4 linked regions of the Drosophila melanogaster genome follow. The protein of the gene in region 1 purifies or fractionates together with the protein of each later gene. This does not show direct contact. Each region holds a gene or a part of one and is shown in the gene's direction. Other genes may lie near its edges. The genes, in order: Su(var)2-HP2, Nap1, Nurf-38 and E(bx).

Region 1 (7,801 bases):
TCAGCACCCCCGCTGCGAGCACGGGCCGACGGTTTTGTTCAACCGACAATCCCAACTTCCCGACCAGGGTTATTATGCCTGTTCAGCCCATCGGGACTCAAAACTCTGCAATTATCACTTGCCAGCGGATCAGTGGAAGGGTCAGACCACCAGGACGGCACTCACCAAAAGGGACTATCCCTTGCCATGCAGGAAACCAGCTAATCCCGCCATTTGTGATCCCACACTAAGCCTTACAGCGCTTTCCCAGGACAAAGTCAATGCCCAATACTTTTTTGATGAAGCTGCGCTCAACTTCTTGGCAAATCAGTGTGAGCATATAGGAGCTAGGTGGGTAATTCCAGCAATTTAGTTAAGCCCTTTCTAATCTAGTTATATCAGCAAGGTTATATGCATGGGCGCACCGCGTCTACACTTCCATCTGCGACACAAATTGCAAAGTTTTCTGTTGGATTTGGATGAGAGATTTGCCGAATATCTGGGTCCTGAAGAGTTCTGTCTGTACAATATGTGCAATAATCACTTCTTTTACGATCGAACGCCCTTTGAACAATTCCTGGCAGGTACCAGGTAATATATTTATTATATGATGGTTACCGCAATTATAAAATGTCTCATTTGCCAGTTCCGATCGACTGGTGATTGTAACAGATCCTCCATTTGGCTGTCGCACTGAACTGATTTCGCACACCCTGCGCAGCCTTAGAAAACTGCATAATCAAATCAACCGATTGCCATCCACTCCACTGTCCATATTCTGGATATATCCCTATTATTCAGCTAACCACATCAGGCAGGAAATGCCTGAGCTTGAAATGTGTGAATACAGGATCAATTACACTAATCACCTTAGATATACGAATGTGGGCAAGCAGAGTCGGTTTTGTGGATCACCCGTGAGGCTGTTCACCAACGTGCCACTGCGACTTCTTCAATTGCCCCCTGAAGAGGGCTATAAGTACTGCCAAAAATGCGATTGTTACACTGCCAAGGAGAACCTGCACTGCAACCGCTGCGGGAAGTGCCCCTCGGTGAATGGCCAAACGTACAAGCACTGCGAGTCCTGCGATGCCTGTGTGAAACCCAACTATGTGCATTGCTCCGACTGTAGAAGGTGCACGCAGAAGGAGGGACACAACTGCTCCTTCTATCAGACCAAACAACACTGCTGGATGTGCGGCCAGAAAGGCCATATCGAAACCAAGTGCCCAAACTTCCGCAAGAGAAAGACGAACTATACCAAAGGCTGCCTTTTGTGCGGCAAACGAAATCACAGGGAAAAGCGATGCTCGTACCGCTCAAAATACTTCAGGGAACAGTGTTTTATGAACGAAACAACAATTCAGTGTCTTTAAGATACATACAAATATATATGTACAAAGATAAATACAAATTGCATTTCTTTATATACTGAGGGGCACTTTAGACTGTATGCATTTATGCAGTTTATAAGAACAACACTGACAAAACCTTCACTACCATCCATAAACAACAGGGCACACATTTGTTTAATACAAAATTTATTTGTTCTTAACACTTTTCGTTGAATGTCTTACAAGTTCTTGAATTGCAACGGCTGCGCGCGGAATTTCTGATGCACATGACCACGATAAATTGTGGAATGAATTCTCAGCCCGCCGGATGAACGAACGGATTGGGGGAAAACGATTAAATTTTGAAAATATGCATTACGTTTAAACAGGTTTTTAACTTAAGCTTAGGTATAATTAATTTCATGTGGAAACACACCAATGCCTCAACAAGCGGAATGGATCTCTTCTTATCTCGCCGCAAAAGAAATGATGACGTCGACATTGTTCACGCTCGTTGAGGTGAAAGTATTTTATTGGCTACGAAATGCATGGCTTAAGAACGATTGTATTTGCCCCAAATGTGCAGCATGAAGACGGAAGCGATGAAGAGCAGCGACATGACCAGCACGGGTACGGGACCACTGCAGCAAAAGTCTCATTAGCACTGGGCCTTTAATATAAATATAGCCGAGTTATTCACTTACACTTTGATACCGGGCGAGTCGTCCGTGTAGAAACGCCACATGCCACCAGTTCCGGCTCCGCCGGGTGCACGGCTCCGGGCCGCTGTGGTGCTGGTGGTGGTCTTGCGCTGCTTCAGGGTGCTGCCGCCTCCGGATCCGGCGCTACGTGGCGCCGACAATTTGCTGGGGGAGCGCGATCCGCTGCCCACGGACGTTGAACTGGCTGGAGCGGGCTGGCAAATGTGTTTTAATTAGTTGCCGCACTCAATTGCCATCTAGTTTAACTCACCATTTTGGGCTATCTGTTCCTCTGGACCGACTGACCTGGAAAATATGAACGGGCGAAGTGGAATCTGAACGTGAATCTGAATCTGACGTGCTCGGCTTCGTGTCGCTTCGTCTTTTTTCGTTCCACGTCACTTTGGTGGTGGCACCGCTGCCGATAGGTCGTGACGCTGAGGTGACAGCTATCGTGCACTTAGACAGCTGGAGATGACAGGCTAAGGCAACTCAACTATCGGCTGCTTTGGCTCTAAAATGAACTAGTAAAAAAAAAACGAAGAAATAATATATTCAAGTTATGAATTTAATAGATAACAATAATAGATAAAATATTAATTCTACAAAATGAATTGTTTAAATCAATTTGAATGAATCCTATTAATATAATTGGCTATTATTAAAACTCCGATAATAAATGCTATTATTCTTGATTTCCCTTGATTTAATTATATAATACATACTTAATAACTATATAATTATATAGAATAAAAACTTAATCACGCATTTAATAGATCATATAGATATAGAATATATAGAAAATCAATGAAATCGATTTTGATAGCGATAATGTGCAACCTTGCATGTAAGTTATTTTTAGATTTTAGCTGGGCAAGCGCAATTTTCTTGGCGCGCACCAAACAATTTGTAAATAATATTTTTGCTTAACTGGTATTGGTTCGACTGCGAATCACTAAAAATTATTAAGTGACTTAAGCACCGTGTTTTAAACATTGTTAATCGGAACGGCCACACCGAAGCGCGGGCTCACTAAACGCTTTTGTCATTTTTGCACATCTGTACAACGTTCACGTTAATTGCAGCGGCATCATCTTTGCTGGATTTCAAAGGAATATTTTGCGGTGAAAAGAACGAAAAAGTGCTTGCATTTGTGCGCTAATGGGTATATGAGGTCCTTCTGCTAAAGGAATGCCAAGTCATACAAACTTTTCGCGATTCGCCTTAATGGAAATAGATAAGACGCGGCGCAGTTGAAAGATTGCAAATTGATCCACCGATCGACCGACGCACATGAAAAGTGAAGTATGGAGGACATTGAATATTTAGACGAGTACAAAGACTTGGTGCTGCCAGGTGCGTGATTTCAGCTTCCAATGCTATAAATACTTCTAATGTGATTTGTCTGTCTACTTTGCGCGCGCACAGGGATTAAATCGAGTGCTCCGACAGCATCTTCTGCCGGCGTTCCGCGGCAGCGGCGCATTTCATCAGACTCGAGCAACTCGTCGTCGATTGATGCGGACATTTTCCAAAAGCTCTTCCATGGCAAGTACCTCGACGACGAACTGCTTAAGGAGGGCTCTGGCTCGAAGTCGCAGGACAGGCGTCGACGCCCCCCATCTCCCTCCTCCAGCGACGAGTCCAACGATGCCTTGGAAGCCCTCTTCTGCGGGAAGAGCAGCCAGTCAAAGCTGAGCAAGAGGCGCGAACGGTATGAGTCGTTCGATTCGGTGGACGACCTAGGTGGGCATTTCGCAATGGTTTCAATGACGCATTTTATCAATAACATTTACTTTATGCCTACACTTAGGAGAAGCCCTAATGCGTCCATCGCACAGGCTGACCGTACCCAAGCCCAGTACCTCTCAGGCAGGTTCCAAAAAGTCACAAGATGCTGCCCCACACAGAAGCATTAGCAATAGCAGCAGCAGCAACATTGCCATGTCATCTGGGCAAACTTATGCATGTCCAAAAAACAAGAAAACCAATTCTGTGGCCAACAAGACAGCAGTATCTGCAAATGGTGATAAATGGGCTTCCGGCAAAAACAAGACCGTTACCATTGTAAAGCCCCAAAAAACAGATCTAAGGCCTTCGCGGCTTGAACCCAAAACAGATCCATTAAGTAAGTTCGATATTGTGCTACATATCTGGCTGTGCATAACCACTTCGTATTTTCCATAGATTTGGGTGACTTATACGGGGACTCTGACAGCGATTCGTCCTATGAGTATGAATCGGACTTTTACGGCGATCAAGACTCCGATGAAGAGGATGAGCCGGTGATCGACATTTCAACGGACACAAGCAGGACCACATCGGTGGCGGGTAAGTCAGCGTTATTAACTAGTTGATACTGCCAACCCTCTGATAATATTCATAATATGTAAACACACATAAACCGTGTAGACACTGTGACACCTGTTGTTTCCGACGACGAGGGCCAGGAGCCGCAGAGTGAGCTGAATCAGCGTCATGCGAATGATCAGGAGTCTTTTTTGAGCAGCACCTACGAACGCCTGCAGTCGTATTTGAGTAATCTCAGTTCCGCCGAGCCGCCGCCAATCTATAAGAAACAGAATAGTGCGAGAAAATCCCGCTCCAACGAAAAGAAACCCTCTTCTTCCCAACAGGTTAAGCATGCTAATGAGCAATCAGCGGGTAAGTGTGCACCAACGTCCATTGGGGCGTCCATTTCTGAGCGCCCTCGTGAACCCTTACCTCTGCTACACCCTTACATTTGTAACTTTTTCTGCTTTTTGTTTCGCAGCCAGTGACAAAGAGGCTAATAAAAAGGAGCGGGATTTGGAGCCACCGGAGGCGAGCAGCAGTGCGAAATCCTCGGCCAGCAAGGCTAGCGGTAGTCGCAAGCTGTATGACGTAGCTAATAATGCTACGCTTGAGGCTGTGGAGCGCATGAGTCTCGACCTGGCCGAGCAAATCATGGAGATCGATGTGGAGCGATCTTACGAGTTCGAAAAGCGGTCTGCCTCAAAGTCGCGTAGCTTATCCAGATCTAAGATTCCAGCAGATTCTAGCACCTCGCAATTGGGTCACGTGCGAAAGCTAACCTATTCGAGCGAAAGACTGGATCAACCGGAACCTTTGGGCACCCAGTTGCGTCGGTCGAAGAGCGAGTCCTTACCAAAGCGAGGTCGCCCTCGTGGCCAAAAGCAGCGTAAGAACCGTGGAGCAACCATGGAGGAAAAAAGTGCTAATTGCCGGGATGGGGAAGGAGAGCCAGTCAAAAGAAAACGCGGAAGGCCTCGCAAAATTATTCCAAAGGAGGAGGCTAAAACAGCAGAGACTGAAAATACAATTGAAAGCTTGAACACAAATGTTCCTCTCTCAATAGATACGAGCAAAGAAAATCCGGAAACGGAGACGGTTAATTTAGAAGTGCCAATAAAACAGGATGAACTAGTTAGCGATTTGGACAATGCCAAGGAGCTCACAGGATCTACCAATTTACCCCAGGATGATATTGAAATGGCGTCAAATCACCAAGAAACGGATCTTAAATGTGCTCCGGACAGGGTTGCGCTGGATAAGTCTGAGTCCACGCCAAAGGTCGAAGAAGAACAGCTTTGTAAAGTGGACACACCTAGTGATACTGCACTGGACGAAAGCAAAGTATCCGAAAGTGCAAAAAATCATATTGAATTGGAAGATAAGGATAAGGATAAGGAGGAAACTCAGAAGGAATCTCCCAATGGCAATTCGAAGGAAACCAATGAAAACTCGGTTATAGTTACTAATGAAGTTGAATTACCAGCTAAAAAGGCTGAAGCCAAGGCAGAAGCGGGAAATATTGTTGAGGAAAGCGACTCCCAACTTGCTGAGGATTTTAAATTGGCTGAAGAGATCTTAGCCGCTGAGGTTGGTAAGGGAGTTGAAGCCAACGAGGTATCAGTGACATCTGTGCAGGGAGAACAAAATCCAGTCATTGAAATTGTTAAAGAGTTAGAGCAAGAAACCATTTCGGAAGTCGTGCCCGCTCAGAATGATCAATCTTCAGTCGAAGACCAAACTTTAGCTGATAAAGAAAATCCAGTGGAAAAACCGTCTCCAGTTAAGGCACCATCCTCTAGTAAGGATGAACCACCTGCAGAAGAAAACTTGCCTGCTCCTGACCAGGATCCAATTGAACAACAGAAAACACCTGTAGCAAAAAATCAACAGCATGACAAAGAACACAATGAAGCTCCCAAAGCCGAATCTTTGTCTGTTTCTGATATTCCGTCTAGCTCAGTCACTCCATCCAAGAAACGAAATCATTCCTCCCCAGCTAATACCCCCAAGAAATCGAAAGAAATTGAAGCTTTGCAAAGTTCGGTGCCGCGAAGAGCGCTTAGGTCTGATAAAGCAACTCCTCAAAACCTAAGGGAAAGTCGGTCGAAGCGGACACTGAAAACCGAGCTCACACTACTTATGGATGATACAATGAGACGAAGCAGTCCGAGACTAGGAAGGTCGCCAGCGGAAAGTCATTCCTCACACGAACGCTCTCCGATGGAAAAGAAAGTGACAGTCTCCAAGTTGGCCAAAGATTTAATAACAATAGATAAGGAAAAAGAGATAGAGCTGAAGTCGCTACCTGATGCGTCTGAAACTAAGGATGTAAAGATAACCAAAACCACTACAGCATCAGATACTTCCATACTGACGGATGAAAATCCTAGCTCTAGTAAGACTGAAATGAAGAAGTTGAAGGGTAAACCGTTGAAGGCAAAAAAGATGAGTAGGACCAGTGAGACAGAAGTTAAGAAGGCAATAGCAGATTCCAATGAAGACATACCTTCTATTTTTTCCATAAAATGTGTTGAAGAACATTTAACTTCTAGTGAATCGGAACAGAAAGACGAAAAAGAGGAGTTATTATGTCCAAAACCGCAAATAGATTGTACCAATACGGATTTAGAACAATCCACGGCTATTGAAACTGATACGGAACAAGTTGAGGAAAAACGATCAAATCGCAGAAAATCGCGCAGGATTCGAAATGAAAAATTCAAAACTGAAACGGACACACTTTCCGACCATTTGGATGCAAAGAAAGCGGAGAATGCATCTCTGGAAATTAGCATGCGACCTAAATGTACATTGGAGACTCAGCAAAGTGATCCTGTCACTGCTAAGAATAAGCGAAACTCCGGCAGATTAAGTCGTAAAGAAAAATCTGTTATTAATGCGGCCAAATCCGAAAAGGACAAAAGCCCATCCGCCATATCTCAGTCCACTGAAAGAAAACAACTTTTAAATGAAAACCCTTCTAAGAAGGATAAAAAAACAGAGCAATCTGGTAACAAAAAAGAAGCGGTAGTGGGTCCACTTGACAAGACGGAAACGTCAAGTAGCACAAATATAATCGATAAAAAAAGTAATGAAAGTTTTGACAGTGCAATGCAACCGAGTGACAGGCTAAATCAAAAGGAGTCAGCTTTTACGAAATTGTCATCAATATCCAGTCCCAAAAAAATCATGAAAGATCAGGATAAGGATTTGGATGCATTAAGCAAAGGCGGAGACTCGAATCCAACTATAAGAGATACCGGCGAGGACAGTAGACAGACTGATAAGAAACACCAAGAGAACGATACTAAACATGAGGAAGAGGATAGTTCAAAGTTAAAGGCTAATATAGATGAAACAAAATCTTCTTCAGAAAAGGACGCGGAGCCTATTTCAAAAGACTCTTCACAGGATTCAGCCAAACCCAGACTCTCGAAACCAAAGTCCAGAAACAAGCGTAAGAAAAACGAAAAGAAACCTAATGATAGTATT
Region 2 (7,656 bases), 9.3 Mb from region 1:
CTGGGGCAGCACAGGATAGGATTGCAGGGCCGTAAGCTCTATCTGGGCATACAGTAGTCACTCGATGGGAGGGGAAATGCGTGTGCCTGGGGGTGAGCAGGCGAAATGTGCTGATGGGACGAAACTCAGCAAGGACCAGATGAAATTGCACACAATCTCTTCAGTGTTAATGGTTCTTGTGTATGTATACATCTTATCTAAGTATGTATAAGTATATATTAAGAAACGAGCTCTTATAGTTAATAGTAAAACTAAAGTAATAATAGTGGCACAAATAAAAATGAAAACATCCTTACCATCGTACGACCCATAGTTCTCACCTAGGGTTTCGTCGTGGATGTCCCCCAGTAGCTTGCCGCTCGCAGACTCATCCTGGTTGTAGTCCAACGCGGTGTCCTCGTCAGCCTTTGTAACTTGAAATCTATCTGGCATATTTGTGGATGTAAGGCACTCTGAAATGGGAATGACATTAGTATCGTCGTTGCTAACATGGAGACCCTGCCGAGGGCACGGCTAGGAATTAGCGATCAAAAGCATTCCCGACGATCGCTAGTCCAGTGCGGCTGGTTCCGAATTCACATAAGCTCCCAAGATAAGGATAACATTTCTGTTCCGAATTGCAAAGCCCACCAAATAACTAAGACGGTTAGTCCGCCCCCATCATTACTGCCGCACCTCAACTGGTGTGATAACCCGTGATCGAAGGTATCTAGTGAGTCGCACTATTTGCATGAGATTAGTAGTCCGCTATCACATGACCATCGAACTTGGTGGGTGTCTGGCCGAAATGGGCCACTGCACCTGCGATGTATGCTCCACTTTCGGGCAGAGATAAAGGCTGTTTCCGATCTGTGGCGCTAATCGCTCCGCACTCGCCGCGAGCTGTGAGCGGCGAGCTTAAGATAACGACCATTTAGTGCCATTTAGTATGCCTCAGCGGTGTTATGTCACCGGCTTGGTTACATAAGGCACGACTTGGGACACACAAGATGCGCTGCGATGTGCCAGACGTCGAGTGGGAACGGTTTTGGCGGTTTCCTGACCCTGCCACCGTGATTCCAGCCCCCACCCGCAGCGACGAATTGATAGGCGAGCATGTGTGTGGCGCTCTCAGCGAGATCGGGCTCATCCCGAACCCAGACGAGGCAGCTGGCCCAGGTGGAGGCCATTACACGCGCGCTGATAAGTGCACAAATCTGTTCCCATCGATTGGGCCGTCGCAGCCGCGTACACACAACAGGGGGCAGATAGATTAGTGCAGATACGGGGCTATGTACGTGGAACACAAAGAGGTGCATGCAGATACGTACATCCAAACACGCACATACGCACGCATGTACATATGTACATACGCAGAGGTGGTGGTGGTGGCGGAACAGGATGGACTGGACGGTGTTATCTAACCCGAGGATGTGCCCGCCCAGGCCAGCCACTGGACATCCGGACACTCGTGCGGGAATGCTTTTGGGGGACAGCGGATTCACTCGATTCGATTTACTTGGGCAAGCGCCTGGAATTCGCCTTCACCGACGATCCGATCCGATCCAATGTGATGCGATCCGATGCACTTGTGCTGGGCAGAGCCAACGGAAACGTCCTTTGTAGAATTGTGTTTACTTTTGGGGGCTTCGACTCCTGCTGCCCGATGTGGGTGAACTTTTCAATTGTACGAATAAAATAAAACTATCATATTAAAGGCGCATGAGTAATACAAAATGATTTTCCACCGTATATACTTTGGAATCGCGAGTGGGGGAAAGCGTAGTATTAATGAAAAGTCCAATTGAAATCAAATGTAACGCATAGGGGACGCCGAGTGGCGATTGTATTTTGGAAAACACGTCCCCCAAGATATGTTTATTGCAATTAGCACCCATGATACCATCTTATGGATGATTCCGCCTTGGCGTCCGTGAACGCATAAAATTACTGATTCCGCGCTAAGTTTACAAGGCAGTGAAAAGAGTCTAATTGGCTATATGGGCTATGGGCATCTGATGTGCGCCGATGTGGGTGTACGTATGTAAATACATATTATATTCATATGCATATATACATATATATATTGGGTCCCTAAAAATATTTTTAATTTGCAGAACGGCGCATTTTGGTATAATTTCCAAATTTGCACAGTACATTCATGCAACGTATTTTTTTTTTTTTTTTTTTTTTTTTGCTAAAGAAGTCAATAAACCCGTTAATGGGAACGGATTAAACGTAATAACATTGATCCTGTGTTTTTATTTGGCAAAAATCCTTAAATTGCTTAGAATTCAGTAGTTACTAAGTTAGCCGATAGTTGGGCGAGCATATCCAAATCTCTTGCTTGACGTCTTATAAGAAATCCGATTTGTTAGGAGCGTTTCAGAATGTTTATATTTTTCCAACTTAGGCTTTTATTTTAAAGCGAAGTTATTTTAAATATAGTTATAACTTAAGCCACAGCTGTTTTATTTGGTTTGTTTTAGCCGATAGTATCGATAGGCAATTCAGGATCACAAGCATCTCGATTCTTAAAATTTACCGCTATATTTCGAAAATAAAGTTCAGTTTGTTAAAAAATATTAAATTTAATAAATTAGTTAGCATACAACGATTAAACTAATTACTGATCTGGTGCAATAAAGGTGAGGCTTTGCTTGTTGTTTAACAAATAAATGAATTTTAAATGTGCAGGTTAACTAGCTATGCGAGTACAACTTGTAAATAGAACATTCAAATTATTATCTAAAAATTAAAAAAAAAAATTAAAAATATTGTTGCACTGGGAGGGTTTGCGTCTCGGCTGGGAAGGTAGTGTGACCACAGCCTGTCATGAAATAGCACGTTTCGAAAGAAAATGGACCCCTCACCGCCAAAGCGCAGCATTCCTTTTTAAACATTTTCGTGGCGGTGCTCATCGTGCGTCTGTTCTAACCGAAGGTAAGTGGCGAATTTCTGACTGATTGACAGCAATTCGGGGGCCAACTCACCGGCCAGGCACTGGGAGCTCGCGACAGTGGTCAAAGTTGCCGATAGCCCTCGAATTTCGTCTACATTCGAGCTTATTTCGGTCCACCACGTGTTTTGCAAAAGCGCGTTGTATGGTAATTCGATTGAATCGCACATGCACACACACACACACACACGCAGGCAGATTCGCCGAATGGCGTATTAGTTTTTACAACGCCCTTCTATCGGTGCGAATATGCTATATAGTCTGTGAAATTCAGCTGCTCGAGTAAATATGCGGCTCCCTTTTCGCAAGTGCACCCAGTCTGGGATGGCAGCGCAGTGGGAATTTTCTGTATAAGAATGTGCACATATGCATATGCATGTGCACATGTGTACATCAGTCTGTACATCACTTGCGAAAACGTTTCGGGGTGCAAACAATTGCCAACAGACACTAATCGAGAATCTTGCAGTGAGATCAGCATTTATTGAACAATGGACGCCCCAGCCGAAGGACACGTTGACCCCGAGTCCTGCAACGAAATCGAGGACGAGAAGTCCGGCTCGGACTGCCAGTCGATGTGAGTAGAAAGAGGGGGTGGCAACATTTTGGCAAGCGAAAGCAAGCAAAAAATCAGGGGAATGACACACACAACCCACTTTTCAGGCCCGCCTACATGAACTCGGTCATGCGGCGACAGTATCTGCAGCAAATGGTCAAGATGCTGCCGGCTCCAGTGCAGAATCGGATTGTGTTCCTGAAAAACCTACAGCTGCAGCACCTGAATATCGAGGCCCAGTTCTTTGAGGACGTCTACAAGCTGGAGCAGAAGTACCAGGTGCAGTACCAGCCGTTGTTCGATAAGCGCAGGGAGATCATCGAGGGCAAGGTGGACCCCGCCGAGGAGAAGCCCCAGTGGAAGGAACCGGAGTCGTCGACCGACAACGAGGCCGATGCCGAGCACTTCCGCGAGGCCCTGAGCAGTTTGAAAAGTATTCCCAAGGATGCCAAGGGCATTCCCGGCTTCTGGCTGACGGTGTTCCGCAACACGGCCATAATGTCTGAGATGGTGCAGCCGCACGACGAGCCCGCCATCCGCAAGCTAATCGATATTTCCATCAAGTACGACAACGGGGTGAGTTTGCTGGCCAATAGTTCTAGTAGTCCTGCCCGTCTAAACCGCTTCTTTATTCATTAGCATTCGTACACCTTGGAGTTTCACTTCGACAAGAACGAGTACTTCTCCAACTCAGTTCTCACAAAGCAGTACGTTTTGAAGTCCACCGTGGATCCCAACGATCCGTTCGCATTTGAAGGCCCAGAGATCTACAAGTGCACGGTGAGCTATCTGCACTCTCGAGGGCAACAAGGGATTTCTAATCGAAACAAAACCAATTACAGGGGTGCACCATTAACTGGGAGAAGAAGATGAACCTTACTGTGAAGACCATCCGCAAGAAGCAGAAGCACAAGGAGCGCGGCGCAGTGCGCACCATTGTGAAGCAGGTTCCGACGGATTCCTTCTTCAATTTCTTCAGCCCACCAGAGGTCCCGAGCGACCAGGAGGAAGTCGACGACGACTCCCAGCAGGTAAGCTCACCCAACAACAGTTTCCGCAAGGCCACTTGCTCATCCGTGTTCGCTTCCTCGCAGATCCTGGCCACCGACTTCGAAATTGGTCACTTCTTGCGCGCCAGAATTATTCCAAAAGCAGTGCTTTACTACACTGGCGACATCGTCGACGATGAGGACGATGAGGACGAAGAGGAGTATGACGAGAACGAGGAGGATGAGTACGACGACGACGATGCACCGCCACCAAAGGGCCCCAAATCAGCCGGTATCAAGAAGCAGTCGCCCAACGACTGCCCGAATCAGTAGGTTGATGTGGCTGGATTACACATGTGTAATGTATATACATAATTCAAATTTGATTTGAAATATATTTTTGGTGAATAAAAATAAAAACAACAATTACAAACGATATGAGCTGAACTCGAATAAACCTACATGATATTAGAATATGGTTGACTTTGATTTAAAAAACATAAGCCTCCTGAGGTTGCTATTCTTGAACCAAGTGTTTTCTCCCAATACTCAGTCAAGCACCGCCTTTGGTCAGCAGCTTTAGCTGTTTCTTGGACAAGTTGTAGGGGTAGTGCAGGCTAGTGGGCACGAAGATCTGCCCCGTGACCTGGCTGTCGAAGTTCTCCTCGTAGCCCACCGTGTAGCCATCTGGTATCTTGGCCGTCTTTTGCCAGGTGAAGCACTCCGGCGGTGTGTAGTTCACGGCGTAGAAGGGATAGTCGAACGTGTTGATGTATATGTCGACGCAGAGACCATGGCTGCCCAGGTGAAGCTGACTGGCCACCGAGGGCTGCTTGAGGCCGCAGCTGCCGAGCATTATGTTGCGGTGGCAGGAGTAGACGAAGGTGCCCTTGTCGCGGCTCGAGTGGAAGCACTGCACATGCTTGCCGGCCTTGGAGTGGTCGACTGCAATGGGATCGAACCCGGGTCCGGCCATATCGCACGCTGCAGTTCAATACAATAATTACTGGGTGTGGCTAAGATAACGCTCAAGATACCGACTGTCTATGCTCTCGATAATGTGGTGTGGCCGTAGGGATCTTCCCACCGCCGAAGCCAGTTGTCCGCCGAAGCTGAAGCCAAACATATAGCCTCGTTTTGGATCGAATCCCTGCCTGAACAGTGTTAGGATAATGGACGATATGGCGCCGGTGAGGGTGTCAAAGTTTGTGTACAGCCTTTAAAAGTCGGATAATGAGAATTTGGGGTCAGACTACTACTACTACCCACCGCATGTACGAGGAACTGGCGACCACACTGTAGTCTATGCATATCACGCATCCGCCGCGGTAGTAACTGAGTCCTAAAATGCATATTTCGAGTAGCTTTCAACTTTGGCATTGAAAAAAATGCAAAAAATGCTCACTTTCAATAAGCGACAGCGCCCACTCGTCCGAACAACTTTGGATCCATCCATGCAGAACTATGGCAAACTTGTCCGTGGGCGAGCAACCCGAGCCACTGAGATCGTAGGCATCGTCGTAGGCCGAAGTCTCCATGGTTTTGGTGTTGTTCTTGTAGAACATCACCTTCATGGTCTTCTGGGCATCATATTTGATTCTCTGCTGGTGGGCTTCATAAACAAAAACATCGACATGATACGCTCGTCCAGCAGAAACTTTCTCCCACATCCATACCCAAAGTGTCATTTTGCGTTGCCTTTGCTGCTTGCTTTTGCCTCAAAATGGCATATTTAAGATTCAGTTTCGAGTGCGTTCCATCAATTAAGAGAACACAGCAAACAATTAGGATTGAGTGGAAACTACTGAACAACTGCATTATCTGGTCATCTGGATGGTTAGCTGAAAATAAAAAGTAACAACAGTGCAAACCGCGTAGAAAACCAGTTTTCTGTGCCGAAGAGATACAAATTCGATATGGTATACGGCAATCGATGAAGAATGGGGTTTGGCGCCAAAAGAGGCTGCATTCAAAAGTGGCGCTTTCTATTAAATATTGCATTTTCTTTATTTCAATTTAAACGATTCCGCTTCTCCTATGTAGAGCACTTTTCATTGTCATCAAAATCTAGGGAGTTGAGAACATTGACGTCCAGTTCTGGGTCCGCGTACTCCAGGATATTGAAGTCGTCTCCCATTTCGGAAGTGAGCGACTTGAGTAGGTCGTCGTCGTCGCCCTCGCCGAGTCCTCCCAGAAGGTCGCTGAATCCGACATTCTCCAACTCCACGGCGGAAGAGGTTGCCTCCTGCGGCTCGCCCAACTTCACATCCTGCTCCAAGGACCTGCCTTCAGATGGCTGAGATTTTCCACTTATGCTCAGCATGGGATTGTTCTGCGTAATGGGTGTGTTCTGCATCATTCCCAGCCGCATTACATCGTTGCCCAAGAACAAGTCCGAGTTGGCCCCCATGAGCATCGGCTCCGTGCTGTTCTTCTGCAGCAGGTTCCTGAGCTTCTTGTCGCCAATGGGTTCCGTGCCGTACACCGCCGTGTTCAACTCCAGCCTATTGTCCACGGTGGTCATTTTCAAGGTGCTGGCTGCTGTCGTGTGCACCTGAGTCCTTTGCATCGTGGCCTTAATCACCAGATTATCGTTAACGTTCGGCATCACGTGATGCGGATTGGGATTATTGGACGCTGCCTGCGCCGAGCCACCAACATAGTTGCCCATATCGTAGGCGTTTCCATCTAGACGAAAAAACAAGGGTTAGAGCAACTAAAACAAGTCTTGAGCTGCAGCACTTACTGTACGTGACAAACATGTTCGGCTGGTCTTCCTTCAGCTTGGGCGGTTGTTTCCACACTCTTCCCATTTCCTCCTGCTTCTGTGGTTTCGGTGGCATAGGTATTTTGTTCTGTTCCCGCCTCTGCCGCAGTGCTGAGCGATTGTCCTTGGCCTTCTGCAAGAACGGCGCCTTCTTCTCGTTGCACAGCGAGCGCCACCTCTTCAGAATCTGCTTGCAGCGGTCGTTCCAAATCGGAAACAACTCCTTCAGGTTGGGATGCTCAGTATTGGCATACAGCACGGCCGAAATGGTGGCCATGAGCCCAAGATCTGCAAAACAAATGGGGTGATGAGCATTTGAATCCTACACTATTTAAATGCACCCTCATACCCTCATCCTTGCGCATTTTCTCCGCCGTCTTTTGAGTGCCAGCGTTCAGGGTTTCCG
Region 3 (7,682 bases), 9.9 Mb from region 1:
GAAATGGCGCAAATAATGGAGTTACTCTTTATTTACTATTATGTGGTTTTGCAAACGGGTCTTACCTGTTGCTTACTTATGTCCGGCAGCATGGCCAGCAGCTCCGGGAACAGGTTGTAAAATGAGCTCAACATGGCGCACTGGCAGTGCTCGTAATAGGCTTGGCCAGAACAGGATCCGTCGCGGAACTTAGACGAAAGCAAGCGGAATTCGTTCAACGCCTCTGGGGTCTTGAGCAGGGACATAACCTCATCAACCAATTTCTGGACGCAAGACAAATGCTTTTTAAGTTAATGTTTTCTAACTAATTGGCAAACGACGTTAGCTTACCTGATTCCTGACCTCGGTATCTGGTGGATCGGTGTACGTATAGGGGCTGGGTACAATGTCATACGACTCGCCCAGCGAATTGGTGAACGTGAGATTGTTGGGCAGCTTGGCCACCGAGTTAACAGTCACGTTGGACACGAATCCTGGTGGTGGCTTTAGCGGTCCGCCAGGTTTTAAGCCGGGAGGAGCACGTATTGGCGTAGACGGAGCCCCATTGGTTTTTTGTTCGTTGTTATTATTTCTCTCCTTCGGTTTGGCCGTCTTAGGCTGATTCTCCTGGTTGCTCTTTTTATCCTTCTGCTTTTTATCCTTTTTATTTGCCTGCTGCTCTTGAACATTGTTGTTGCTTGCCTTGGGAGCAGGTTTCGATGTTGGACTCGGCAGAACCGGGGCCGGCGCCACTTTGGCCTTGCGATTCTCCAGCTCACGCTGCTTCTTCTCATTAGCTGGTTTCGACCAGTTCAATGAAGGAGATCCACTGCTGGGCTTTGGAGCAGTCGTCCTGCTTGAGCTGGCGCTGGCACTCGGTCCGAGGCTAGGGAATTCCGCCGCAGTGAGTTTGGGAGCACTCTTCTTCAAAGCCTCCTGGCGCGCTTTGGCCTCGTCCTCCTCCTTTTGTACCATTTGAAGCTTTTGAAAGGTGCTCGGGCTAGCCACTGACACGTAGTCATCGGCTAGAGACCGATGCTTAGCGGAGATGTTCGCCATCGGCACTGGCGATCCGCTAGGCAGCATATCCTCCTCCAGGTTGCGCAGATTCTTCTTGTTCCCCTTACCCGGTAATGCAGGAAAGTCTACCTGCGGCGTGGCTGCCTTTTTGGGCACGGCTGCTGATCGATTTGACACATGCAGGAGCATTCCGTTACCGGGAGGCCCACTTCGACTGCCAGAACCTGCCGCGCTTGTGGGTTTCTTAAAGACAGCTGCCACGGGGTGCTGCGATTGAGCAGCCCGGGCGGCAATGCTGCTGCTAGTGGGCCCAGTAACACCACCTCCATTTCCTCCTCCCAGAGCCGGGAAGTTTTCTTTGGTCCGAGCAAGACCAGAAGTTCCACTAAGATTGCGCATCGAGGGCGGTGGCGGTCTCACCAAGGATACGCTGGGAGCTGTGGAAGCGCCTCTCAATGTGGGAAACTGTTCCTCGTTGCCAGCATCAATGCTCACATGGCGCTGGGTGATCGAAGGCAAATCGTTCTGGTAGTCGTTGTGCTCGTCATTCCTGTAAGGTTTACCATTCTAAGAGTGCCTTCTTCAAATTGGATGGCCGCTCACTCACCTGGTTCTCACGCTGGTTATGCCCTGCTCCGTCTGCCCACTACGGCCACGAGGCCCCAAAGTGATCTCCACCTGCAAGGTGCGCGTCTGCTTGGCCTGCTGCTTGTTGAGCGACTTGCCGTGCACGTTGGCCACGTGCGCCTTGTACTCGATTTCGTTGCGGAATGCGCCGACAAACTGCTCGGTGGCGCACTTACCCTCCTCGCAGAGAAAGTGCTCCGCCCGGAAATGTTCCGCCAGATCCGCATAGTCATTGTAGAACTCATTGCAACCATCGGCGTCGCAAAAGTGGCAGAAGTAGTGCTCGCGGCGCAAATGACGGAACAACTCATCACGGTCCACATAGCGTTTATTGCAGTATTCGCACAACGGATGACCGCGATGCGACCGATTGTCCGGATCGCCCTTGGTGTTGTGTAGCTGCAGCTCCGCCTGAGTGTAGCACCTCCGTTCGAAGGTGAAGATATTGAGGGTCTCGACGCATAGGTCACAGTACAGAAGTTTATGCTCGCTGCGAACATGGTTGCGAAGGCCCTCGAACGTGCGGTATGGAGGTGCATCGCATCTGCAATTTAGCGTAGAAGGGTGAGCCTCAATGGTGCAACTCAAGTGCGGGCAGAATACTCACTTCGGGCAGGGATGGTCGAGCAATTTGAAGAATTGCTGTCTTATCTCTGCGGTGCAGAAGCCGATGCGGTACTTCTTGCTGTATAAATCAGAGCGGTTATTTGCCTCCAGTTCGCGATAGGGCAGCTTGTCCAGTGTGAACAAAACCTGCAAGTGTTTTAGAATTAGATAGAGATTCGGTTCTCTAGACAAGCGCAGGACTTACCTTGGACAGGACGTGGCGGCAGATGGGGCACTCGTTCTGCTGGCAGAGAACCCTCATCCGAGTGGAGCACTCGTAGCACACGGGATGATCACAGTCGCCGATGGAGAAAATTTCCACGTTTTTGAAGCACACCACGCAGGCGTTGTCGTCGTTGCCCGTATAGCTCTCCAAGGCCTCCGGCTTGACAGCAGCGTTATCAGTGGTGGTGTTGGCCACTCCGTCTTTGGGACGGCGGTGGAACGACGGCCTGGCCGAAGATCTCGGTTTTCCGTTCTGCATTTCACTAGAGATTTTGCAGTGAATGGAGGGGGGGAATTTACTTGTTGCCACGGGCACTTGAAAATGTACGTGTAACGACTGCTTTCGGATAAAAGCTGGGGTTTCTTGGATCCCCCGGTTTGTTTACTCTTTTGGAATATCTCGTCAGCAAAATAAAGGGGAATTTTTGCAACGCCAACTCGAAAGCAAGGCAACACGCACACACGACAGACGAAAAGAAAACTCAGAATTTAGAAAACTCGATTGCCAATGTTATCGATGACACTGCTCGGATCCCCGATAGCACCGATAGTTCCCAGTTGGAAGCTTTGTTAATGTTAAGTTAACATGACCAGAATTCGGACAATTTCGCAACGATCAGTAACCAGTACAAGTAAAACCTATTGACTTCGAATTTATAAAAAATTCAATCACTTATATGAAACTTTTAAAATATTTCTAAGTGCTTCTTCTGCAGGTATGAACATATTCAAAGCATATTTTGTTTAAGTTTTTACGATTTGACAAAAACTAAATAATCTTTAAGGTTTTGATAGTTGTCTTATTTATACTGTAAATAGATTTGTATAATAATTATAATTACAATATTGTATTTTATATTTAATAATAATAATTATAATGTTATAGTTTTCATATAATAATATTTATAATAATAGTTCTAATTGTATGAAAAAATGAAGTTCATTCTCCATTGGAATGGATGAAATGGAATCGAGCTATACATTTTCTGAGCAGCACTGTTAACTGTAAAATCGGGTCCTATCGCCCTATCGATAGACTCAACTCAGGGCTGAAGAAAATGTTGGCGAAAATTACAAGGAGTTCATTTTACGCTTCACGTGCGGTTGGTCGCTTGTCCGGCTCGATTCCAACGTCACCAGCGGCCCTTGCCAGCAATTGCAGATATATTCAGATAGAACGGAAGCGCACGAAATCACACGAGATGGCTCTGTACGAAACCGTTGAGAAGGGCGCTAAGAATTCGCCGAGCTACAGCCTGTATTTCAGTGAGTAGAGTAGCGCATTGGGGGCCAAATGTGAATGTGACCCGGCTTAACCCTTTGCTTGCGCATTTGCAAGTTACCCAAACTCGGTGCAGTTAATGCACCTAGAATTAGTTGATCGGTACCGGAATGGTTATGCAACAGGTCAAACCGGACTCTGCTTATTTAACTCGACGCATTATCAGCACTATCAGCCGATCCGATTTGTCTTGCGTCGGAAATGGCGGAAACACCAAGAGTTTCGGCCCCTTTGGGCTTATCTCTTTCCTTTATTAGCCCATATTCCGAATAGCAGATATCGAAACTGGTGGCTGAATTTCGGTTTACTGGCACGCAAATTAGTGACCTTTGTCTAGCCGACAGGTCCCCGGTCACTATTAATCAAATCGCGTGTCCAGGTGTCGCCCATATATCAGGCATAATAATTTCTGGCCATTCTCCACAGAAAACAAGTGCGGCAATGTCATCTCGCCGATGCACGACATTCCACTGTACGCCAACGAGGAGAAAACTATCTACAACATGGTGGTGGAGGTGCCACGTTGGACCAACGCGAAAATGGAGGTCGGTCTGCCTGTCCCTAAGATTCATACTTCTGAATAATACAAAAATTGCATGTCTGACCCTTAGATTAGCTTGAAGACCCCTATGAATCCCATCAAGCAGGACATCAAGAAGGGTAAGCTGCGGTTCGTGGCCAACTGCTTCCCGCACAAGGGCTACATCTGGAACTACGGAGCCCTGCCCCAGACCTGGGAAAACCCCGACCACATCGAGCCCTCCACCGGCTGCAAGGGTGACAACGATCCCATCGATGTCATCGAGATTGGCTACCGAGTGGCTAAGCGCGGCGACGTGCTGAAGGTCAAGGTGCTGGGCACCATTGCCTTGATTGACGAGGGCGAAACCGACTGGAAGATAATCGCCATCGATGTGAACGATCCGTTGGCCTCGAAAGTCAATGATATCGCCGATGTGGACCAGTACTTCCCGGGTCTGCTTCGTGCCACCGTTGAGTGGTTCAAGGTGGGTGGAATTCGATTTTCGGACGATTCCCTCTCTTACCCTTTGCATTTCGCAGATCTACAAGATCCCCGATGGCAAGCCTGAGAATCAGTTTGCTTTCAACGGCGATGCCAAGAATGCGGACTTTGCCAACACCATCATTGCCGAGACCCACAAGTTCTGGCAGAACTTGGTGCACCAGAGCCCCGCATCCGGGTCCATCTCCACGTGGGTTAAATGCCATTTTATACATTTACAATTAATCCTAAGTACGTCCGTTTCGCAGCACCAACATCACCAACCGCAACTCGGAGCACGTCATTCCCAAGGAGGAGGCCGAGAAGATACTGGCCGAGGCCCCCGATGGCGGCCAGGTCGAGGAGGTGTCTGATACAGGTAAGGTTCACTATATTAGATCGAACTTATAGCTGCTTCACCCGATCCCAACCAAAAACACACTACTCCAACACACGCTTTAACCACCAGTAACTTGCAAACAAATTGGTTACACAAACACAACCTGCACGCTTACTAATAGCTACTTTAATTGTCCAGTTAGCAAGCTAAATTGAGATTACTCCATGCTGTAAATACTGCTGAAACCCAATTTATGTAATTGGCTTGCTTGCGTTCGTTAATCGTTGTACATATACTTTATACTGAATGTTATCCTGAAATAAACCCTTTTTATACCAATTTACGTCCTTTGTAATTGCAGTCGACACTTGGCATTTCATTCATCTCAAGTGAGATGTTCTCCTGGGCTGATTCCATCACAAGATCCATGATCTATCTGTAGTCCAATCGAATCGAAAATGCTTGCACTTGTGAATTATTAATACTGAAATATTATCGTACGTTGAATAAAGTTTTGCACCGCAATCAAATTCGCTGTCGATTCCTCTTGAAATATACAATCTTTATTTATATTTTACGACTAGATCCAAACAAGTTTAAATTAATTAAAAGTTATGTAATTGTAAGGCATTGCAATACTACATAGAATCGAATCGAATTATGCCGTGTGGTGTTGCTCAGATGTGATTTCCGTTCTATTGCAGGAGAGCATGTGTGGGAAGGTGTGGAACGTAAAATTTATTGCCGTAACAAATTAACTTAAGCTTACGAAATAAAAGAAATGTACAAATCAGTTAGGCGTTATAAATATGTATAGAAATCTTTAAAAGAAGACAAAAATAGTTATATACATCAGACATTTTGATTCTTGTTCGTTTGTTCGTTCGTTTTTTTGTTTGCTTGTTTTTTTTTTGTTTGTTTCTTCTCATATTTGATTCTTGGCATAACTTTTTGCTTTCCTTCTGCGCGAAGAACTAAAAGAAATAAGCATAATTTACGTAATTCACTACAACTAAAAGCTCCACGAGACTGTTTCATGACAGATGATAGAAATAACATATAGACCAATTTAGACTTTCCGATATAAGTGCGGATAAGTAGCGTGTAATAGTTTAGTAATTGTCTTCATAATTTTTTTTTCAACATTTTTGCTCTGCTTTCTCTTGTAGCTAGATGTTAGCTTAGTTGTTTCTTCAAGTGGTACACATTCCTCGGGTCGATCGTTTCCTGGTTGCCATAGTTTCGTGCCGTGTTCTGCCACAGTTATCAATAATAATAGTTTTAGTTAATAGTTCATAGAATTAAGTAGCTGCTCGTGCCAGTGACGGTGCCAGAAAATCCCAGAGAATCGCACTTTACTTGCGACCCAGGGTATCGCGCCATTCGTTATACTTGTCCATCTCCTCGTGCAGCTGAAGAGCCTCTATGCAGGCGTTGAAGAAGGGCGATCCGAAGCATTCTTGCCTGTGTTCAAAAACAAAAGGAGGAGGAGGAATTAGGAAACCTGATTTTTTTTAATTTGGTGTATAGCTTGCTCAGAAGAAAAAAGAGCCAAAGTTCAAAAGCCATATTCAGGTATGGTTGAATATATCACAAAAATTATTGTTCTCAAAATCTTGTTCTGTTTGTTTGCTCAAAAAATACGAGCTCAACAGTTCGAGGATTATTGAGGAATTTAACAAAAAGTAAAGCATAGTTGGTCAAATTTTTAGCTTGAGTGCTAGTTAAAAGCCAAGAATGCACAAGGTCAAAAATCAAATAATTAATTAAAAACAAAAGAAAATTATAACGTACCAAAACAAAAACGGTAAGCAGGCGTTTTTAGTCGCGCCAGAAACGCGCGCAAATCGCCAGCTGCAGTCTGTCTGTCTCTGTCGCCTTCTGTATGGCGGTCTCTTTCTCTGGCGGTGTCCTGCGTCGCGCATTCGCATTCTAATTCTCATTTATCACAATTTTGATGCTCTCAAATAGCCAGCGAATGATTGATTATCCTTTATTAATTTACAGGGTTTTATTAATTATGTATTATTTATTGCCACATTTGTAATGCAGTCGTTCCGTTCTTCGCGTGTTTTTACCAGGTTTTTGTTTGTGTCTTGCACAAATTGCGATCTTGCGTTTCTCTCTAATATTTAGCATGTGTGTAGGGTACTCGTATTCGGATATATGTAAGGCTTTAGCTTTAGATAGGTATGCATATACTATATACTATATAGGTAAATACATATCTCCGTTTTGCGCCAACAGATTTACACTAATTCAGGGTTTCATCTTTACAAAATAGCACAAAATTGTAAGTGTAATACATTTGCAAAATACTTTCGGTCTCGATTGCGGTGTATATATGTGTGTGTGTGAGTGTGTGTGTATGTGTGTATGTGTGTATGTGTGTGTTCGTATGGGTTTATCTTTATCATTGTAGTTTTGCCCTTGCGGAAAATCGTGTAAAATGTAAACTCTAAATGCTGATTTTACAGTAGAATACAGATACAAAAATAAAAGTTATCATTTTACATTACATAGATTAAAAACAATGGATTTCGTTTTGTTTATTTTATATACAAACCGCATAACGCAATAATAATAAAACAAGCTAAGAA
Region 4 (8,110 bases), on another chromosome or scaffold:
CCTGGAGTCCATTCACCATGTCACAGAGTATCAGGTAATTTGAATTCGATCCCGAGTAAAATGTTATTATTTCGAGCAGCCAGCTAACGACCATTATTATTCCAAGTAAGCTGACACATTTAGCGCTAACGACAAAAATTAAAATAAATGCATGTGTTTGGACTGCAATAATTCTGCACTCACTCTTTTTTAACATCTTCATATTTTTGTTGGTCAAACAAGCATTTTCGCTCCTGAATGTTTTTTTCAGCCTTGGCGTAGCCGCTTATACGTTGAAATCCGAAGAACGATATGATGTTAAGCTAAGAATGTACAATTGCATAAAACAAAAAACAGGTACGAAAAGAAGTGCTTACCAAAAAACTTAGAAAAAGTATAGTAGACACTGGAGGAATAAAGTAACGTTGGGAATCTCGGATGGATTCAGTTAGGCCTTTAAATAATACATATGTTACTACTTATACTTTTAACTATTAAAGTCAATAACTTGCCTTGCAGAAAGTAAGACGGCATTCCTGGGAGTCCTTTTTGAACAGTTAGTGCAACTATTGTGGCCGGTCCGGAAAAGGCAAAAACAGCGTAACACGCAAAATTAAAGGTGGCCCAACTCTTTGAGCATTGAATGCAGCAAGGCAACTTGTACCACACATTCAAAAGAACATTGAAGCATATGCACAAGTACCAGAAGAAGTAACTTAAAATACAAAACTGTATGACGTAGCCAATGAACCCTTGGTTCGGGATCCCATAGATGTGCACAACGGAGTGCACAAAGTATCCAGACGCCAAGCACAGAGACATCAAACTTAGCGAGAGACCATGCAAGTTACGCAATAAACGAAGTGTCATGTGCAAATAACTAACTAATAGCAGGCAGGGCATAGATATAAGCATAAGAACGGCAACAAAAACGACCTGAAATAATATTCATCCGTTGGTAAATAGAAAATAATGTTACATTGACTTACTTTTGCGAAGGCAATTTGTTCTTCCACTTGGGTTACACATGTAAAGGCAAACAAGTGTCCTGACTTATCAATATCCAAGCAATAATGTTCCTTCACAGTGTATGATTCGTTGCCAAATTTGTCGATGATTAATAACGAACCGTCTTGCAGAACAAAGAAAACATCGTCTTTGTCGTCGTACAAAAGAGAACTAATTTTGCAGAAGAATTTGTACTTTGATTCAATTTAACATTCGCTTTCATACCTGTTGCACGGATTTCCAATGTCGTAGTCGAGCGTAGTCTCAACCTCCAAATCTTCAATGCAGTTATCGAACAGAACTGCACTTATTATAGTCGGTTCGAAGCTTAAGAGCCCGTTGTCGCACATCGAATCGCTTTGATTTTCCCGATATATATTTAAGTTTTCTCCATGTGGGCAGCATTTTCTTAAACGAGACGATGGTGTTGCAACTGGTTGCTTTCTGTACTTTTCCCGTTGAGAACAGTCCGCCGGATCTAACGGGTTGTCTACAGGACTTTGAACAGGAACAGAGGTTGCGAACCTAGCACCTGATATTGTTGCAGCTTCTGTCGAATATGTTTGAGGTACAACCAGTGTTGAATGTATTGAGGCGTCCAGAACGTCAATCGAAGTGCTATTGAATGTGTCTTCATGGAAAATACTAAGCAAAGCAAAATATATTATAGAAAATGCAAAGATTCCAAAATTAGTATTTTTCGAAAACAAATATTTTGAGTATTTCTTACTTTGAGTTGTTTGATCCCTTCGAACTGTTATTTACAGTGCTTATCTGTGCGGAGGCGTTAAAAAACGTTTGTAAACTGATTAGAGCTAGGAGAAAATTCCAGTGGCCTAGATTCATATTGCCTTTTCAACCAATCTACAAAAAATATATAGCATAAAATGAATAAAACAAAATTGCCGAGTTCGTTTACACAGAAAGTATGTAAACAAACCAAATTTTGACATTAGTTAGGTGGTGTGGGAACTGGTAAGATATGGGCTATCTTATCTGTGTAAGATACCAGTAGAGTGCGTTATCATAATATAACACATGACGTCAGACGAATGTGGTAGCACATTCCTTAGAATTGATCAATACTCGGAAAATTACACTCATCAACTTATACAAAACCGCGTTAAATGTCAATTTTTGCGCACTGATTATTTGATTAGATCATATTTTATTCAATTATTGTATTTTTAAAAATAAACTATTTATGGCAATTATTGTTTACGTACATGTCAAATAATTTATGCTTGCTATTTAAAATGCAACCACTGAGCTTGATTAATAAAGTAATACTAGCGAAAAAGAAGTTTTAATTCTGCAATGGAATCACTTTGTGCAGGCGATAAGATAACGATGTTTTCAGGGCTTCAAAGCAAATTGTTTACCCTAATTTCTTTAACAATAACACATTTCTCAACAAACACAATTAAAATACTTTAATTTAGTATTTTTAGAATAATTTTTTAAAAAATTTAAGTAATAATAATATAAAAACCTTTCCCAGTAAACAAAAAATCGTAACGGCAACTTATTATCGATAACATTTTTAATGGATTTTTCGTGGTCGGCAATTTACGAAATGAGATCACCAGGATTTAAAATGCGAAATTGGGTAGAATGTAATACACTAAAATAAATTTACAAAAAAATACATTTTTTTTACCGCATCAAAAATACCGTTTTAATTTTTAAGATAGTGAGCAAAGGTAAGTTTATTTTGATTACAAGTTAACGGGTTTTCTTTAAACGCCCGCTCAACACGTCGATAAAAATAAAAATACATCTGTCAGTGCGGTTCAGCGTAAATGCCAAAAGCAACCCTGCCTATATCGTTTGTGCAACCATAAAGAATTAGTTCTCCAAGCCGACCGCAAGAGGACGCTTCTGACTTCACGCAATAGAAGAGTCGCTGTGATTGGCCGACTGTACACCGTCTTTAGCTATGTTCAAAACTGTAATGTTAGGTAAAAGTCTCTTTCGCAGTGTGCTGAAGATAGTTAAAAATATTAGAATATATCGTGTTAAATCCTGTGCAATTATTCCGCAACATGCTGGGTAATTTGCGCAGTTAATCCATGTGTTAATTGTGAAAGAAGAGTGACATTTAAACAGACGCAAAAATTTTCACGGTTGCTTAAATGGCGGACAATGTGCGTTGGCTTCATTTCATCGCACTCGCACACATACAATCGAACTTGGTGGTGCTGTCCAGTGCGTTTGCCGTCCAACACTAGAAGCCAAGAATGTGTTTTGAATACATGTACTTAATGTATTTAATCGGAACCGTTATTCTGAACTAAACAAGCTCTTTTGGCGGGTTTTTTTCAACTCCAAATTTGCGCAATACAAAGAAAGTGAACACCCAACGACAAACTTTTGACGATCTGATCGATTTTTCCCCCACATACGCTGTTGAGTAAATGTGTGTTTGAATGTGCCCCGTAAATACATAGCTAGCTGAGTGCGAGTGAGATGCGGTGTGCGTTCCTGTGGCACCGTGTACTAATGGGTTAATTTTCGTTTCAGATCTAATGTGCAGCCTCGCAGCATTAACTTGGAACAATATCTGAGGAGAGTACCCCCACGCACCCCTGCACACAGCCAGATAAATACGCAAGGCGAAAACAAACAAGATGAGCGGTCGCGGCAGCCGTAAACGTGGACGTCCGCCAAAGACGCCCAACGAACGCGCATCAGGACGCTTCAATTACCAGCTTCTCAAGAAGCCGAAGTATCTCAGCGAGGGAAAGTCGCAGCCCAGCACTCCGTCGGCATCCAGGGGCATTTCTCCACAGAGCGACGAGGGCAGCAGGAGCAGCCACAACAACCACACCAATCGCAGTCGCGGGAGCGCCGCTAAGAGGGGACGAGGCCGCAAATCCGCCGTGCAACCGAACACCAGTAGCTACTCTGGAAGGAAAGGTGGGTTAAAGGGGCACCTAAACTCTAACTTGGGAGTCAAGACTTACAGTTTCGCTCTGACTAGTTCGAAGATTAATAGGGAACATAATGTGCCATATATTGATTGCAGTGGAGAAAACTTTGATCGTTTTGAATGGTACTCATACTTCAAACGAGTTTTCCTGTGCGTTAAAGAGCTTCCGCTTCATAAAAGATCAAATTTAATATTTTCGTGACAACCACTACCGGGCGAGTCAGTTTCGATAGGTCTATCTGCTCTAATACCAACGATTATTTTTGAAATCTTACGACAAAAAATCTTTCAGTCTAGTTGGCATGAGTTTAATAACAATTACTTAAATACAATTCAGTAGAAATTGGGTCCACAATAGCAGTGACAGTATGTCAGGTTTTATGCACTTAGGTGTTGGTGAAATCATATTGGTTCTAAGAGCTACTGTTCCTCTTTTCAGGGTACGAGTCGGAGTATCACTACGGGTCAGATTTTGGGGATTCCGAAGAAGATAAATCCGATAATGAGGATGATATGCTGCTTACTCCCAGCGACGACGAGAGCCTAGAAGTAGCCAACGAGAGCGAATCAGAGTTTTCCGTGTGCAGCTTTAACCAAAATGGAGTTGGTCGGCCGCCACGTCCTCCTAGCCCAGAACCTGTGTGGCTGCAGGAAGGTCGTCAGTATGCAGCGCTTGATTTGCCGGACTCGTCGGAGGATCTTTTCATTGCTAATACACACGTTTTGCGCGCGCTAAGTATCTATGAAGTACTGCGACGATTTCGCCACATGGTCCGCCTTTCACCATTCCGATTTGAAGACTTGTGTGCAGCGCTGGCTTGTGAGGAGCAAAGTGCATTATTGACGGAGGTACACATAATGCTGCTTAAAGCGATTCTTCGAGAAGAGGACGCGCAGGGTACACATTTTGGCCCGCTGGATCAAAAAGATACGGTTAATATAAGTCTTTACCTGATTGACTCTATAACGTGGCCGGAAGTTTTGCGAAGCTATGTAGAAAGCGATAAGACATTTGATCGCAACGTGTTTCACATTTTAAGCCACACTGAATACCCTTACACGGGCATTGACAACCGGCTTGAAGTGCTCCAGTTTCTGTCAGATCAATTTTTAACTTCCAATTCTATACGAGATGTAATGCTGCAGGAGGGACCTATTCATTATGATGACCATTGCCGAGTGTGCCATCGGCTCGGTGATTTATTATGTTGCGAGACGTGCCCTGCTGTCTATCATTTGGAATGTGTAGACCCGCCAATGAATGACGTACCTACTGAGGATTGGCAGTGCGGGCTTTGCCGCTCGCATAAGGTAAGTGGCGTAGTGGACTGCGTGTTGCCACAAGAAAAACAAGGCGTGCTAATCCGGCATGATAGCCTCGGTGTTGATCGTCATGGGCGCAAATATTGGTTTATTGCACGTCGCATTTTTATCGAGGATCAGGAGAACTTTACATGCTGGTATTACAGTACGACAAGTAAGTTAAAATTGCTGCTCAGTCGACTGGACGCCGAAGAACTGGAAACTCGTCTGCATAGCCAGATTACAGAAAGGAGAGACGAAATCGAGCGCCAAATGAAACTGACTGAGACCTTAACCAATGAACACAAACACACGAAGCGTAGTGTTATCGAAATCGAACAAGAGGCTAAAAATGAACTTTTGGAGAAAGAGGTGCTTGACGAGGATGAAAAAGATGGTGATGCTAAATCTGAGAGTCAATCTATAGAGGGAACAAAAAAACAAGAAGAATGTAAAATGGTCACGCGTCAAAAATCCAATCAGCTGACTAATGGTACTTTGCATTTTAAACTTGGCATGGAGCAAGGATTTAAGAACTATGTCAACCAGTATTCAACAAATCCAATTGCACTCAACAAGCCGCAACGAAACGAGGAGCGAGATAAGCGACGCCATCTGTCCCATAAGTTCTCGTTAACGACGGCTTCTGACTTTAAATGGATCGGTATAACCATGGGAACTACTGACAATATGATAACAACTCTAAGGCAAACATTGATAAACTTCGAATCCAATATAGCAGCTTCCTTTTTAAATATTAACTGGGTAGTTAACAAAAAAATTTGGAATGCTGCGGTGATGAACGCCCGTCGACCTTCTGAATTTGCGGTAGTATTGTTACTTTTTCAAGCGTCCCTTAAGAGCGTTGTTTTTGCCAACGTCTGGCATGAGCAACTCGGACACACAACTTTGCAACGCATAACTAGTGCCGAACGAGAGGAGCGAAAAAAACTAGAAAAGCGAGAGAAGCGCGAGCGGGATGATGAGGAAGAACGTAATCGCTTAGCATTTAACTACATAAAGTATACCCTGGGTCTCAAACATCAAGTCTGGAAGCAAAAAGGAGAAGAATACCGGGTCCACGGGCAATGGGGCTGGCTTTGGCTCTCAAGCAGTCGACGCTGTGGTGTTCGTGCACGTCGAGCCCAACCTCTAACACACAATAGAGTCTACGTACATTACACCATGGGAGAGGAAAACGACGTAAATGAAATTATTTTAGTCGACCCACGCACCCAACGGTTTATGCAACAATGTGAGTCAAGCAATGTCGATGGTCAGGTGTGTCATTATTTACCGGACCAATATAAAAATGTGAAAGTTATAGAAGATGTTACGGAGAAAATCAAAGGGCACATCGACGTCAGCAAAGCGCTAAATGCTCCAGGCCGTACTTATTATTCAAAAGTGGCTCGCAAATCTAGATTAGATGACTTATTGGATCGCCGTTTAAAGTTGGCCGAGGTCGAGGAGCAGATGGCTTCTAAAATTCCTTCTGATATGAAGCCGCTTCTTGTTTCTTCCCAAAATAATACAGCCAACAGCAAACAAACGTTTCTAGAGAAGCGTTTACTTCGCCTTACTGAAGTCCAAGCAAAGGGGGGTCCTGCAAACGTAAACTTGGAACTTGTTAATTCGCTGGCTAAACAAATTCAAACCGTGCGCTTACAATTTAGTCAGCTTAATCGATTTGCTAAAGTTTTTCGTTGTTATACAAAGGAGTGTAACACCAATTCAAATGCTGTCTCTCAAATAACCCAAAATACTTGCTACTCTCCCTTATGTCTTCAAAAAGCTCGGGCCAAAAAAGAACTTCTTTTGTTGTTACGAAAGGCGCATACTGCCGGTAATGGCTCAAAAGAGACAGTTGCCGCTATTTTGGGCGCTGTTAAAAAGCCATCTATTCTCGAGCAGAAGCTGACGGAGGGTAAAAGAGAATCCACTCAGGTGGCCGTGGATGATTCTGAAGAGGGGAAGCCAGCTGAATCCGAAGCGCCGTTGGATTTACTTCAAGATTGGGAACATGCACGAGCGCACGCCGTTCCTTTTAGCGATTCTTTATTGACCGAATGCATCCTGGTTGACCAGGAGTGCGTAACCAACACGAAAATTAAACAAGAGGTGAATGCCAGTTCCGGATGCAATACAACTCCTGACTCGAACACACAAGACTCCGATAAAATAGACTATATTGAGAGTATGGACGTTTGTAGTAATGTTGAAATTGAGAGTACCGAAGATTCCATTGTTACGGGCTTAAACTCTGGTAACGCTGAAGATGTCGATATGACACCTGGATGGCGGCGAAAGCGTAACCAGAAATCGAAAAAAAGCTACATCGGCACTAAAGATGTGTTGGATCAGACGTTAGACAAGGATATACCACTTAACAAACAGAACCGCAGATTTCCTATTACTGCACGTCCGGTTAAGCGCGAATGTGTCAAAAAATACGAACGAGAGACATTTGAGAATGGAAACGAGCGGGTCTATTCGACTAGTTCACCTCGGGGTCGTGTATACCTCCTTAATGATGCGGCCAAGTTGTATGAGCAAGCTGTCAAAACTGAGGATAAGTCAACGATAACTAAAAAGCCATCATACTCTCGGTATCCACTTATATCCAATTTTCTTACTCATAAAAAAAAGCGTAGCCTTTTAGTGCTACCACGATTTGAGCTCCTGAAGCTGGCTCGTCTGGGTGGAAAATCATCGACAAATGGTTTTCATCACGCTGCGAAAAATAACACAATTTGGCAGTATCAGTGCTCGCGTCCCCTCTTCCGAACCTGCTGGTCCTACAGAACATCTAATGCCACGTCCTTATCCAGCCTAGCACTTCAGCTTCGAATATTGTGGTCGTGTCTCCGCTGGGATGACATGATAGCA

What was found.
Region 2: the proteins of Su(var)2-HP2 (region 1) and Nap1 purify together in Drosophila melanogaster (affinity purification with western blotting; one study listed by BioGRID). This does not show direct contact.
Region 3: the proteins of Su(var)2-HP2 (region 1) and Nurf-38 purify together in Drosophila melanogaster (affinity purification with western blotting, with the first as the bait; one study listed by BioGRID). This does not show direct contact.
Region 4: the proteins of Su(var)2-HP2 (region 1) and E(bx) purify together in Drosophila melanogaster (affinity purification with western blotting; one study listed by BioGRID). This does not show direct contact.

Annotation. Positions count from the first base shown.
Region 1 is NT_033778.4:14,613,387-14,621,187, reverse strand, and holds the start of Su(var)2-HP2 (Su(var)2-HP2), read left to right. Parts: upstream 1-3,069; 5' UTR 3,070-3,321; coding exon 3,322-3,370; intron 3,371-3,442; coding exon 3,443-3,760; intron 3,761-3,827; coding exon 3,828-4,142; intron 4,143-4,201; coding exon 4,202-4,345; intron 4,346-4,426; coding exon 4,427-4,678; intron 4,679-4,787; coding exon 4,788-7,801. Other genes in the region: CG12863 (uncharacterized protein), read left to right, coding at 1-330, 382-570, 626-1,355; Sec61beta (Sec61 beta subunit), read right to left, coding at 1,867-1,954, 2,018-2,229, 2,286-2,288.
Region 2 is NT_033778.4:23,902,474-23,910,129, reverse strand, and holds Nap1 (nucleosome assembly protein 1), read left to right. Parts: upstream 1-2,835; 5' UTR 2,836-2,922; intron 2,923-2,967; exon of another isoform or gene 2,968-3,086; intron 3,087-3,118; exon of another isoform or gene 3,119-3,220; intron 3,221-3,407; 5' UTR 3,408-3,429; coding exon 3,430-3,515; exon of another isoform or gene 3,516-3,601; coding exon 3,602-4,070; exon of another isoform or gene 4,071-4,133; coding exon 4,134-4,274; exon of another isoform or gene 4,275-4,311; intron 4,312-4,336; coding exon 4,337-4,525; exon of another isoform or gene 4,526-4,588; coding exon 4,589-4,816; 3' UTR 4,817-4,955; downstream 4,956-7,656. Other genes in the region: CG13562 (uncharacterized protein), read right to left, coding at 5,037-5,467, 5,525-5,700, 5,753-5,825, 5,889-6,095, 6,160-6,301; Lpt (lost PHDs of trr), read right to left, coding at 6,519-7,171, 7,230-7,538, 7,600-7,656.
Region 3 is NT_033778.4:24,556,894-24,564,575, reverse strand, and holds Nurf-38 (nucleosome remodeling factor - 38kD), read left to right. Parts: upstream 1-3,488; 5' UTR 3,489-3,515; coding exon 3,516-3,723; intron 3,724-4,165; coding exon 4,166-4,284; intron 4,285-4,350; coding exon 4,351-4,746; intron 4,747-4,801; coding exon 4,802-4,953; intron 4,954-5,011; coding exon 5,012-5,121; coding exon of another isoform or gene 5,122-5,153; exon of another isoform or gene 5,154-5,424; intron 5,425-5,443; coding exon 5,444-5,475; 3' UTR 5,476-5,609; downstream 5,610-7,682. Other genes in the region: CG11414 (uncharacterized protein), read right to left, coding at 66-263, 331-1,549, 1,607-2,170, 2,234-2,379, 2,438-2,716. UniProt on the Drosophila melanogaster protein: Component of NURF (nucleosome remodeling factor), a complex which catalyzes ATP-dependent nucleosome sliding and facilitates transcription of chromatin.
Region 4 is NT_037436.4:241,724-249,833, reverse strand, and holds the start of E(bx) (enhancer of bithorax), read left to right. Parts: upstream 1-2,921; 5' UTR 2,922-3,451; intron 3,452-3,510; 5' UTR 3,511-3,617; coding exon 3,618-3,906; intron 3,907-4,358; coding exon 4,359-8,110. Other genes in the region: mthl14 (methuselah-like 14), read right to left, coding at 1-125, 184-302, 357-433, 492-915, 969-1,158, 1,213-1,632, 1,718-1,833. UniProt on the Drosophila melanogaster protein: Histone-binding component of NURF (nucleosome remodeling factor), a complex which catalyzes ATP-dependent nucleosome sliding and facilitates transcription of chromatin.